Arabidopsis thaliana: one gene and its partner. Each later gene encodes a partner of the first gene's protein in a complex. Each region holds a gene or a part of one and is shown on either strand. Other genes may lie near its edges.

Evidence for each region. The genes of interacting proteins can lie anywhere in the genome.
Region 2: HAF2 (region 1) and TAF6B share a complex: the UniProt entries of both Arabidopsis thaliana proteins name them as parts of the TFIID complex.

Annotation. Positions count from the first base shown.
Region 1 is NC_003074.8:6,571,992-6,578,323, reverse strand, and holds the start of HAF2 (histone acetyltransferase of the TAFII250 family 2), read left to right. Parts: upstream 1-2,710; 5' UTR 2,711-2,771; coding exon 2,772-2,805; intron 2,806-3,041; coding exon of another isoform or gene 3,042-3,057; coding exon 3,058-3,282; intron 3,283-3,533; coding exon 3,534-3,625; intron 3,626-3,715; coding exon 3,716-3,890; intron 3,891-4,283; coding exon 4,284-5,394; intron 5,395-5,545; coding exon 5,546-5,748; intron 5,749-5,866; coding exon 5,867-6,104; intron 6,105-6,229; coding exon 6,230-6,332. Other genes in the region: POK2 (phragmoplast orienting kinesin 2), read right to left, coding at 1-277. UniProt on the Arabidopsis thaliana protein: TAFs are components of the transcription factor IID (TFIID) complex that is essential for mediating regulation of RNA polymerase transcription. Core scaffold of the TFIID complex.
Region 2 is NC_003070.9:20,287,790-20,293,660, forward strand, and holds TAF6B (TBP-ASSOCIATED FACTOR 6B), read left to right. Parts: upstream 1-2,810; coding exon 2,811-2,930; coding exon of another isoform or gene 2,931-2,999; coding exon 3,000-3,247; intron 3,248-3,334; coding exon 3,335-3,441; intron 3,442-3,512; coding exon 3,513-3,589; intron 3,590-3,668; coding exon 3,669-3,806; intron 3,807-3,898; coding exon 3,899-3,994; intron 3,995-4,090; coding exon 4,091-4,215; intron 4,216-4,298; coding exon 4,299-4,431; intron 4,432-4,641; coding exon 4,642-4,767; intron 4,768-4,871; coding exon 4,872-4,983; intron 4,984-5,072; coding exon 5,073-5,371; downstream 5,372-5,871. Other genes in the region: ABCD2 (ABC transporter family protein), read left to right, coding at 1-35, 130-294, 379-607, 1,190-1,431, 1,509-1,785, 1,908-2,158, 2,247-2,456; NHX5 (sodium hydrogen exchanger 5), read right to left, coding at 5,564-5,651, 5,740-5,861. UniProt on the Arabidopsis thaliana protein: TAFs are components of the transcription factor IID (TFIID) complex that is essential for mediating regulation of RNA polymerase transcription. Not redundant with TAF6.

The DNA.
Region 1 (6,332 bases):
AATCACACTTATCTCCCCAACCAAACCGATTCTTAGAAAACGCCGCTGCGGATCGATACTTATCAGGCGTCCGTAAAGGCAATGCTGGATCTGGGTTCTTTGCTCTAGGCTTAGACGGAGTTCTATCAATCTTACTTCCACACTCGTGTTTAGGATTCTTCAATGAATCGTTGCTGGTTAGAGACAAAAGCGAAGCTCGGAGATTTTCAGGAACATTCTCGATTTCGTCATCGTGATTGTCTGAATCTCTACGGGAAAGCTTGGTCTCCTTTGACATTGTATTACCCTAATCTGAAACAAAACCCAGTTCAAAATTTATGAAATCGACACACGAGAAATGATAAGTTTAGAAACTTGGAATCCATAGCTAAAGCTAAGAAGCTCGTTGGGTTTAAAGGCTGAAATAGATCTCACCTGTGTAGTAAATTGAGCAACAAAATCCAAAATTTGTCGAGCTTCTAAAGAGTTCGCTCTCTCTCTTTCTCTCTCACTCCCTCTCTCTTTCTAGATTCGCATGATTTGAGCAGTGAAGCAGGACGGAGAAAGGAATGTAAAAGAAAGAAGATGAAATGGACGGCTGAGATTGCATCTTTATGTTTTGTACTTTGAGGCGCTGTTCGAATTTGAATTTGGAAAGGGCTTTCTCACGTAATAAAGTAGGCTTGTAGAGGTTAGTTTCGTAAATGAGAAACCTATTTTCTTTTATTTTTTCAAAAATATTCAAACGGCTAAGACATTGAAAAAAGCAGTAGAGACTAGAGAGGGTCCATTTTAATTCGAATTATCTCGCCTCGTGATTAAAATATATATTTCCTAGCGGCTTATGTCAAAGTTCGAGATAAAATAAAAAAAATAGACTAATTTTGCGTAGGATTTGGTTTGGTTTGGGTCTGTTACTATAAGAATGAAATAAAGAGACTATACAATATACACCGTAACAAGTATATCCTTTAATTTTGTCATATGACAATTATTGTTCTTCTTTTTCTTTTTGGACATGGATAATTATATTTTGTTTCATTTTGGTAAATTAGGGTCCTGTTCGTTTGCCTGTGTTCGTTTGCTTGTCTGTGTTCGTTTGCCTGTCGCTGACGACTGAAACCAGCGACAACGACCAAAAGTTGTTTGTTTGCATAGCGATCAAAAGTAACGACAATCGCCAGCGACCAGCGACCGCAATTTTTGGTCGCTGAAATTTTTAGCGATCAGTCGCTGATTTCAGCGATTAGTCGCTGGTTTTAGTCGCTGGATCCAACGACATGCAAACGAACAATTTAGCGATCAAAAAATATAAATTAAAGAATAATTAAAAATAATTAAATTAAACAGAATTAAATTAAATTAAACTTAAAATAAATGTCTTTTTGCACTCTGAACGGTTGTGTCTTTTAATCGCAACTTTCCGTAAAAAATATTGATGGTTGTTTTTTCTCGCTTGTGTCTTTTATTGCAACCTTCCTATATTGTAATTTTCTGTCAAAATATTTACAGTTATTTTTTCCGGTTAGTTATATATATACTATTGAATAACTACGAAATTTAGAATATGCATCATTTGGAGTTAGATTTGTTTTAAAGAAATTATTATATAAATAAATTTATAATATTTTTCTCTGCGATATCAAGAAAGGTTTGAGTTCTAGTTTAATTAAAATAATTCTTATTAAATTAAGTTAAAATAAATTAAATTCAAATAACATAAACTAATTATAGTCAAATTAAATTTGATAAAACTAAAATAAATAAATCTATTAATTTATTTTTCTCATGGTGTATGATATATATGATTTACATTTTGATTTTAAAATATAAATTAGTACCAAAAATAATTAATTTTAAAAAAAAATATAGCGACTGTTTATAGCGACAGTCAAACGAACAACACAACGACAATTATTAGCGATTGTTGATGTAATTGGTCGCTGAGTCCAGCGACAGACAATCGAACAATATATGTTGTCGCTGGTTGCTGTCGCTGGTCGTTGGTCGCTGTCGCTGGATCCAGCGACAGGAAAACGAACAGGGCATAGGTTTTGTTTGTTTTATTTAGTATTTCTAACGTAAATTTTAAAAAAGCGCCAAAATCTAGAAGAAGAGTAATATGCGAGAAAATCACTTTTACTCTTATTTATTTACTTGTCTTGCCAAATTTCCATCAAAATTATTAATTACTTAATTATATAATTTTTGACTAATTATTTACTTTATTGGACCCGGGATATGTAACTAAATGGGCTTTTATTGGGCTGTATTCTGTGGACCATTAATAAACATAATCTTTGAAGTGCAAAAAAAAAAATGGGACCCGGGACAACTAAATCAGAATCGGGGCGGGTTATAAACTTTTCCCTATAAATTACCACTCCGATGTTAATACCCGCCTCTTTGATCCCTCAGACGATTTCTTCTTTCCGTTGTATCTTCCAATCACCCGATTGAGCTCCGCTTCACTTCCTCCGGCTAAATGTGTACATACTCTCAATTAGGAAACCGCCAATCCCACATAACGTTGAATGTCGTCGTCTCGGTTAGATATCAACGAGGGTTTTGTTCTTGGTTCCTTACTAAACAACAAAATTTGACGAAAATTGGTACTTGGGTATGAACGTTGTTATTCCCTAATTGTACCGGAAAATTTGATGGTGGTATGTTTCCCTTGTAGGTTTTCGTTGAGTCGTGGATTTGTTCTTGCTCCTGATTCTTTTCAGTAGTTCCTTTGCTATTTGGGAAGCAAAATTGTCACGCCACTCTTTGCATTCGAGGGTTTTATTATGTCTGAGTCCAACGACAACGAGACTTCCGCAGGTTATATTTGCAGTTTCTTACATGGTTTCTTCATTAGTGTATTGCATTCTCCTAGTTTTGCTCTAGTCATAATCTACTTATTGTGGGATAATTTATTGCTCAGCGTTTTGAGTTAATTAAATAGAAGGTTTTTATGTTTGAGATTTTGATATACGCAACAAGTCCCACCCATAGCAGTTACAAACTGAAACTATTTGCCACTACCAATTCCCGGTCATCAGCTTCACTGACTTGTGATGATATGTCGTGTAGATTATGGGAGCAATGATGAAGAGTATGATGGGCCTGAGCTTCAAGTAGTTACTGAGGAAGATCACCTACTACCAAAAAGAGAGTACTTATCAGCTGCATTTGCTTTGAGTGGTTTAAATTCCAGAGCTTCTGTGTTTGACGACGAAGATTATGATGAACAAGGAGGACAAGAGAAGGAACATGTACCAGTTGAGAAATCTTTTGATTCAGAAGAGAGGGAACCAGGTTTGCTTTTGAAATTTCCGTTTCTTGAACAAAACGATTAGCACACTCTATTCTCTACTTTTGTTTTGTCATTTCATTAATCTCAGATTGGTTTAGTTTTCTCAACACTTATACTTGTTTAGCTCGGGAAAATAATCTCTTGTTAAGTTGGAGTCCAGTGCGTCATAAATACTAGAGATCAGAACTCTTGGAACTTTTCTTAGATTCCTTTTGTGTTAGTGATTATGAGACACTAAACATTATTTTCGCAGTTGTCTTGAAGGAGGAAAAGCCCGTAAAGCATGAAAAGGAGGCTAGCATCTTGGGAAATAAGAATCAGATGGACACAGGAGATGTCCAGGAGGTCAGCAAGAATGATTTCGGTGTCTCAGATAACATCTTTTTTTGTTGTGGAATGATTTTGTTCTGTTAGTGATCTCATTGAAACGTTCAGGAGTTGGTGGTTGGATTATCAGAAGCTACTTTGGATGAGAAACGTGTCACCCCGCTGCCTACGTTATATCTTGAAGATGATGGTATGGTCATCTTACAATTCTCTGAGATATTTGCTATACAAGAGCCACAGAAGAAACGGCAGAAGAGAGAAATTAGATGTATCACTTATAGAGGTATGTGATCTGCAACGGCTTCCTAATTTTGTTTATTCTCAAAAGCCTTTGAATTTTTTGTGCTTTCCATTGGGATGTTAAAATCTACAACAACAATGATTTCTCAAGATTTTCAGTATCTCCCGTTCAATTCTAAAAGCCATTAGGTGTCGAAAGCATGAGAAGTTTTTTGTATGTGGCTCTGTCTTTTCTTGGCAAGAATTTAGTAGATATGTATATTTGGTGCTTCTGAAATGATATACATTATTTTCTCTGTTTCTCTCGTTATCTCTCTGCATTGTTCTTTTCTGTTTGTAATTCATCACTTCTTTTAATGTAACTAGAATAGCTGAGAAAGTTCTATGAAAACAATTATCATATGAGACTCTTACATCATAGCCTTCTTTGGTACAGACAAATACATATCTATGGATATTTCTGAGCTTATCGAAGACGATGAGGAGGTACTCCTGAAGAGCCATGGTAGGATTGACACTCATGGGAAAAAAACTGATCAAATTCAGCTGGATGTTCCCTTACCAATCAGAGAGCGTTCACAGCTGGTAAAATCTGGCATAGTAAGGGATACTACATCAGAATCGAGAGAGTTTACCAAGCTAGGAAGGGATTCATGTATCATGGGTGAACTGTTGAAGCAGGACTTAAAAGACGATAATTCATCTCTCTGTCAGTCTCAATTAACAATGGAAGTTTTCCCTCTAGACCAGCAAGAATGGGAACATCTAATACTCTGGGAAATTTCTCCTCAATTTAGTGCTAATTGTTGTGAGGGCTTCAAATCTGGACTTGAGTCAGCAGGTATAATGGTACAGGTGAGGGCTTCAAATTCAGTGACTGAACAAGAAAGCTTAAATGTGATGAACTCTGGAGGGCAAACTCAAGGGGACAATAACAACATGCTCGAGCCTTTTTTTGTAAATCCGTTGGAGTCTTTTGGCTCAAGAGGTTCCCAGTCTACAAATGAGTCCACTAACAAAAGTAGACATCATCCACAACTCCTTAGATTAGAATCTCAGTGGGATGAGGATCATTATAGGGAAAATGGCGATGCTGGACGGGAGAATTTAAAGCAGCTTAATAGTGACGCTCGTGGGCGCTTGAGTGGACTTGCATTGCAAGATAGGGATATGTGGGATGAGTCATGGTTAGATAGCATAATATGGGAGTCAGATAAAGATTTGAGCAGGTCTAAACTAATATTTGATCTTCAAGATGAGCAAATGATCTTTGAAGTTCCGAACAATAAGGAAAGAAAATATCTTCAACTTCATGCTGGATCTAGGATTGTATCTCGATCTTCAAAATCCAAGGACGGATCCTTTCAAGAAGGCTGTGGATCAAATTCTGGGTGGCAATTCAATATTTCTAATGACAAATTCTATATGAATGGGAAAAGCGCTCAGAAACTGCAAGGAAATGCTAAGAAATCTACCGTACACAGTTTGAGAGTTTTCCATTCGGCACCAGCGATTAAATTGCAGACGATGAAGATCAAATTGAGCAAGTAAGTGAGTCATTTGAATTTTTACATCTTATTGTATTTGTACGCTTCATTGTTACATTCGTGTGTGGTCTCAATGTTGCCACTGGATATATTTTTTAAATACATTTTTTTAGTGGTTTATGTTAAAAAGTTTTGATTTAACTCATTGCAGTAAAGAGAGAGCAAATTTTCACCGGCCCAAAGCTCTGTGGTATCCACATGACAATGAGCTAGCCATAAAGCAGCAAAAAATTTTACCCACCCAAGGTTCCATGACAATTGTTGTTAAGAGTCTGGGGGGTAAAGGATCACTGCTAACCGTCGGCAGAGAGGAATCTGTCTCTTCTTTAAAAGCCAAGGCTTCTAGAAAGCTAGGTTGTTTGTTTTCCTTTCATTTTTTGTCTACCCCATTATGACATGGATTCTATTTGGAGAACATGCTGTACTATTCACTTGCAAATCTTAGAGCTCATTTGCTACAATTGTGTTGCAGATTTTAAGGAAACAGAAGCAGTGAAGATGTTTTATATGGGGAAGGAACTTGAGGATGAAAAGTCTCTTGCTGAACAAAATGTTCAACCCAATTCCCTTGTCCATCTTTTACGTACTAAGGTGCATCTGTGGCCATGGGCACAAAAGCTTCCTGGCGAAAATAAATCTTTACGACCTCCTGGGGCTTTCAAGAAGAAATCTGACCTATCTAATCAAGATGGCCATGTTTTCTTGATGGAGTAAGAGAATTTCTATATGAGACTTACCTGTCAAATTTGGAACTTTTGTTTTGTTACTTTATGGCTCTTGTAGTTATCTTGATCTTTGTCTATAAGTCACCGTTACTTTTCATTAATCTGAGTAGGTATTGTGAAGAGAGGCCGTTGATGCTCAGCAATGCAGGAATGGGTGCAAATTTGTGCACGTATTATCAGAAGTCATCCCCAGAGGATCAACATGGGAACTTG
Region 2 (5,871 bases), on another chromosome or scaffold:
TTGGCGGTACAGCCATCAGTGTCTTTCTTGGCAAGGTACAACAATGCCTCGTTAAGCAGTGTGATTGTCTCTATTCTGTTCCGCTTCAGATTTTGGCTTTGTTGCATTAACATTCCCTCTTGTGTTCAGGGACTAGTGAATCTCAACTTTCTACAAGAGAAGAAAGAGGCTGACTTTCGTTACAGCCTTGTACGAGTGAGGGAAAATGCTGAATCTATTGCTTTCTATGGAGGCGAACAGAATGAAATGCAGCTTCTGCTTCAGCGTTTCAGAAGCGCTTTTGATAATTTAACTGTAAAATTTCTCGAGCTTTCTTATCCATTTATATATATATCTATAGATTGCACAATAAATTACATTCAATTTTTTCACCTGCAGGAATTGCTGATAGCATCTAGAAACCTAGAATTCTTCACCGATGGATATCGCTACCTCATTCAGATTCTTCCAGTTGCTGTTGTTGCCCCAATGTATTTCTCCGGGAAGATTGAGTTTGGTGTCATTAACCAGTCAGTGTCTGCATTCAATCATATCCTAGGAGACTTCTCGCTCGTTGTCTATCAGTTTCAAGCTATCAGCTCTTTTTCTGCTGTCATTGATCGACTAGGTAGATTAATTATGTATTCTGCACTCTCTTTTAATGTTCTATATATATACTACTTGTTGCTTACAGATCACACAAGACCTTAGATCAATACCGAACAACATTAGACGCAGAATATGCACATCACCATAATTTCTGTTACCTGATGGTGAGAAATAGATATTTTAGTAGTAGGGTTTTGTTTAGAATATCGAAGAGTAGAAGTTGCAGTGTGTCGCTGTAGTTAGTTATTTTCTTGTGTTATAACAGTATAGAGTGTGGTGTATAGTAGGATTTTGATAAGAATATATAGATAATAGTTAGACTGTATAGTAGTAAGATTTTGTTTATAATATCTAAGAGTGAATACCCGGAAAAAAATGCGGGTGTAACCGTTGAGAGTGTGATGGGCAGACAAAAAGATCGAGTCAGCTGTTCACTTTCCTGCTTAAAATTGGGTCTAAATTATGTCTTATGTACAACATATTCACAAAGTTTCATTGTTTCTGCAAATCAACTTCTACGGCTAAATGAAAAACTGCATTTGCTGTAGGTTGGGATTCTCCTTTTACGCATCTAACAATATCAAGACTTCTTCCAACACAGGTGAATTTGATGATCTTTTGGATAACAACATCTTCAGAGATCCATCTGACACTGTGGACGAGATTGAGCTGACATATCAGAGTGAGATGAACTCTTCACTGCTGGACACCAATGGTTCAATCAAGTCCCAACCGAACCAAAAGCGTCTGGAGATCGAGGAGCTTACTCTTCAGACACCAACAAACGGAACCACATTGGTTCACAACTTATCTGCAGATGTATATGACAAGGATCACCTACTGGTTAGTTCACTTTGACTACTTGTGTTTAAAGCATGTGACTGGTAGATTGGAAGTTACTTAAAAATGCCATTTAACAGATAATGGGTCCTAGTGGGAGTGGAAAAACTTCGCTGCTAAGAGCAATGGCTGGTCTTTGGAGGTCAGGGAAAGGAAAAATCACGTTCTACCTCGATCCTGAGGTAGATTTTACACAGGAGAAATCTGATACTCAGGAAAATTCAGGGAAAAGAGGAGACGTATTGTTCCTTCCACAAAGGCCTTATATGGTTCTGGGATCTTTGCGTCAGCAATTGCTTTATCCTACCTGGAGTGCAACTGTGGAGGAGACGACACCTGGTGGCAGTAATATTGACGGTACTCAGTTTAAATTTGTGTCTAGTAACAACCATTTCTTTCAACTCCATTTAAGTTTATGCAAGCAGATTATAGAACCCAAAAGCAAATCGACTGAAGAAAAAATGCGTTGATTTTGTTAGGTTCACCACCTCTGCTGATTAGAGAGGACGGAAATGAAAAGCCGACAACAGATGATCTGATGCGGACTCTAGAGAAGGTTTGTCTTGGACATATAGCGGATCGCTTTGGTGGTCTTGATTCGATACACGAGTGGTCCAGTGTTCTCTCACTTGGTGAGCAGCAGCGCCTTGCCTTTGCACGGTTATTGCTGTCTCAGCCAAAGCTGGCGCTCCTGGATGAATCCACCAGTGCGTTGGATGAAGCTAATGAGGTACTTGTTGGTTCTCCTCTCATCTATCATTTAGAATAATATCATGTACATGTAGCGTTGAGCCATTAAAATTCCTCTTGATGCCCAGGCGTTCCTGTACCAGCAAATCCAGTCGGCTGGCATTACATATATAAGCATTGGCCACCGCCGGACTTTAACGAAATTCCATAACAAGATCTTACAAATCTCAACGGCAGACCCGAAGAGCAATGAACGTAACTGGCGAATAGAGGACGTGGATGCCCAAGATTCTTTGTACGGTAGATTGAATCAAAAGGAGGTGCCAAGTGAAAGCTGATCAAAACCTGATTGATTACATAAGAGACAGAAGCAGCAGGTAAATCTGCAAACGGGTGTCATGAAACATATAAGAAACATGTTTGGTGTCCATTTTGTATATAATCTACCAGACTTGACGTTGACTGAAGATGCAAGTAAATAGAGAGATTGATACAGATACGAGTGCAACGAAGTTCTGATTAAAAATAACACGCGAGATGAGCTAAAAATTCAAAACCGGCTGAGTATTTATCATAAGCCCAATAAATCTAACGATGGGCCCATTTGAGAAAGCCTGATAGAGTGAGAAAATGTAACACGACTGACTCGACTCAGTCGCTCAAAGTCGAAAAAGAAAGAAGGCGCAAGGAGGATGGTGACGAAAGAATCCATTGAAGTGATAGCTCAGAGCATTGGACTCTCCACTCTTTCTCCGGACGTCTCAGCCGCTCTTGCTCCCGATGTCGAGTATCGCGTCCGAGAGGTCATGCAGGTATATCATCAACTTCAACTTTACTTTTGCCCTCTAATCTCCTCTTTAACTTGTCGTCGCAATCTCCAGGAAGCTATCAAATGCATGCGTCATGCTCGACGCACCACTTTAATGGCTCATGATGTCGATTCTGCTCTTCATTTCAGGAATTTGGAGGTTTCCTCTTCCTCTCTTCTTCTTTTATTTCATACCGTTGACCCTGATTTTGACTTTTTTTTGTATAGCCTACCTCTGGCTCCAAAAGTATGCGGTTCAAGAGAGCTCCTGAGAACAGAGATCTATACTTCTTCGATGACAAAGATGTCGAGCTCAAGAATGTAAGCTTCATTGATTGGCCATGAATGAAGAAGATGGTGAAATGTTGTTTATTGTTATTAAGCTTCCCTTCATGGTCTCTTGTGCAGGTTATCGAAGCTCCTCTACCAAATGCACCTCCTGATGCATCTGTTTTCTCATTGGTTGGCAATTGATGGTATTCAACCTTCCATTCCACAGAATTCTCCTCTCCAAGGTATTTCTTTTGTCTTCTTTTGCATCACCTACTACTTCTCCTTCTAATCCCTCTTCCATGACAATTTGTAGCCATATCTGACCTTAAACGATCGGAATATAAGGACGATGGCTTGGCTGCTAGACAGGTGCTTTCTAAGGACCTTCAGGTTATTTTACTCCCTTCTTTTTTTGGGTCTTTACCTCGCTCTTTGAATGCTATATAATCCTTGCTTGCTCTCGATGCAGATTTACTTTGACAAAGTCACGGAGTGGGCTTTGACTCAATCTGGCTCCACCCTCTTTAGACAAGCACTCGCCAGCTTGGAAATTGATCCTGGACTCCACCCATTAGTTCCCTTTTTCACTTCTTTCATCGCTGAAGAGGTTTGTCTTTGTAATCCAACACTTCTAGTCTTGACTTTTATTCTAACTTGACCACATTTTCACTACTTTTTTTGTGCTTGCAATTTCTCCAGATTGTCAAAAACATGGATAATTATCCAATCTTGTTGGCTTTGATGCGTCTTGCTAGAAGCCTCCTTCATAACCCTCATGTACATATTGAGCCATATGTAAGTTTTGTGCGCACACTTTTTTTTTGTTTTTTTTTGTTTCTCTTCTCCCTTCTCCTCCTTCTGTTGACTTTTAACTTGTTGTATTCTGTTCAGCTGCATCAGTTGATGCCGTCTATTATCACTTGCCTTATTGCCAAGCGCTTAGGAAGAAGGTCATCTGATAATCACTGGGACTTGAGAAACTTCACTGCCAGCACAGTTGCTTCAACGTGCAAAAGGTTAATGTTACATTCTTGCTTTGTGATTTCATGCATCTTATACAACCATATAACTTGCAATCACATTAGTGAACTTTTTACAGGTTTGGACACGTTTATCACAATTTGTTGCCACGTGTCACAAGATCACTGCTTCATACCTTTTTGGACCCAACCAAGGCACTCCCACAACACTATGGGGCAATTCAAGGGATGGTAGCCCTTGGGCTTAATATGGTACTTCCTCTTGATGCTTCTTGATTATCATAACGAAGAGTAGCACTTTAGGTTGTGCGTCTAGAATTTTTACATAAGAAAGCATAAGTTTAAAACTAATAGTAGCATGATCCGACATCCTCGATAAAGTTATTAAACCTGCAATTGAACCTTAAGATATATATCCTTTGGTCGTCCGTAAGTATTTTCTTGCTTTATACCTTTGTCTAGGTTCGCTTTCTTGTTCTCCCAAACCTAGGGCCGTATTTGCTGCTTCTTTTACCTGAAATGGGACTTGAGAAGCAGAAGGAAGAAGCTAAGAGGCATGGGGCTTGGCTTGTTTATGGAGCGTTGATGGTGAGTATGCTTTCTAGTTTGATACAGAAATTAGAAAACTTGTTTGCTTTCAATCTCGTGTTGCAAAACAGGCAGGAGAGCATATAAACTTTAACTTTCCATAGGTGGCAGCTGGTCGATGCCTATATGAACGGCTTAAAACATCTGAGACACTGCTGTCTCCTCCAACTAGCTCTGTCTGGAAGACAAATGGAAAGCTCACCAGCCCCAGGCAAAGTATAAAATCTGGTCTCATTCTTTTTTTTTCTTTTGGCGTTCTAAACACGGAGATACGCGTTCTTAAATAATTTTTTTCTTCGGCCAAGGTAAACGCAAAGCAAGCAGTGACAACTTAACTCATCAACCACCACTGAAGAAGATAGCAGTAGGGGGAATTATACAAATGAGCTCCACACAAATGCAGATGCGCGGAACCACAACAGTCCCTCAACAGTCCCACACAGATGCAGATGCACGGCACCACAATAGTCCCTCAACAATTGCTCCGAAGACTTCAGCTGCTGCAGGCACTGACGTCGACAACTATCTCTTTCCTCTTTTTGAGTATTTTGGTGAGAGCATGCTTATGTTCACCCCCACACATGAGCTCAGTTTCTTCTTGTAATAGATTATTGACATGGTAATTGTATGTACCACAATAAATACATCTATATAATATTTCGAAATGTCTTGGAAATCGTCAACTTTATAGTGGGCATTTTGCGAGAGGTAAAATCAACCAGTGTTAATCTTACATAGACATATGTGTACTCTAATTATAGCTTGGCCTGGACCACAAATACACATCTTTTCCATGCTACTCCCCATCTCCATCTCCATCTCCACTATTAGTTGTGAAGAACGGAGTCAGAAAGTTTTTGTCCAACGCGGTGAATGATGTAGTGCTGCAAAGTTTTGTCAAGTGAGTCCCAAAAAATTGCAAATATCGCTTTTTACTCAGGAAAACATACTAAGCCATTCTCTTATTCTTACGTTTTGTGAAACTCCTTCAGCTTCATCTTGAACCTGCTTCCTGATGATGATGTATCCTCGTCAGATGAAGCTCCAATGCTAAAAGGAGGAGGGACATACTGATGATCGCTCTCTTCAAAGCCCTAACCACGT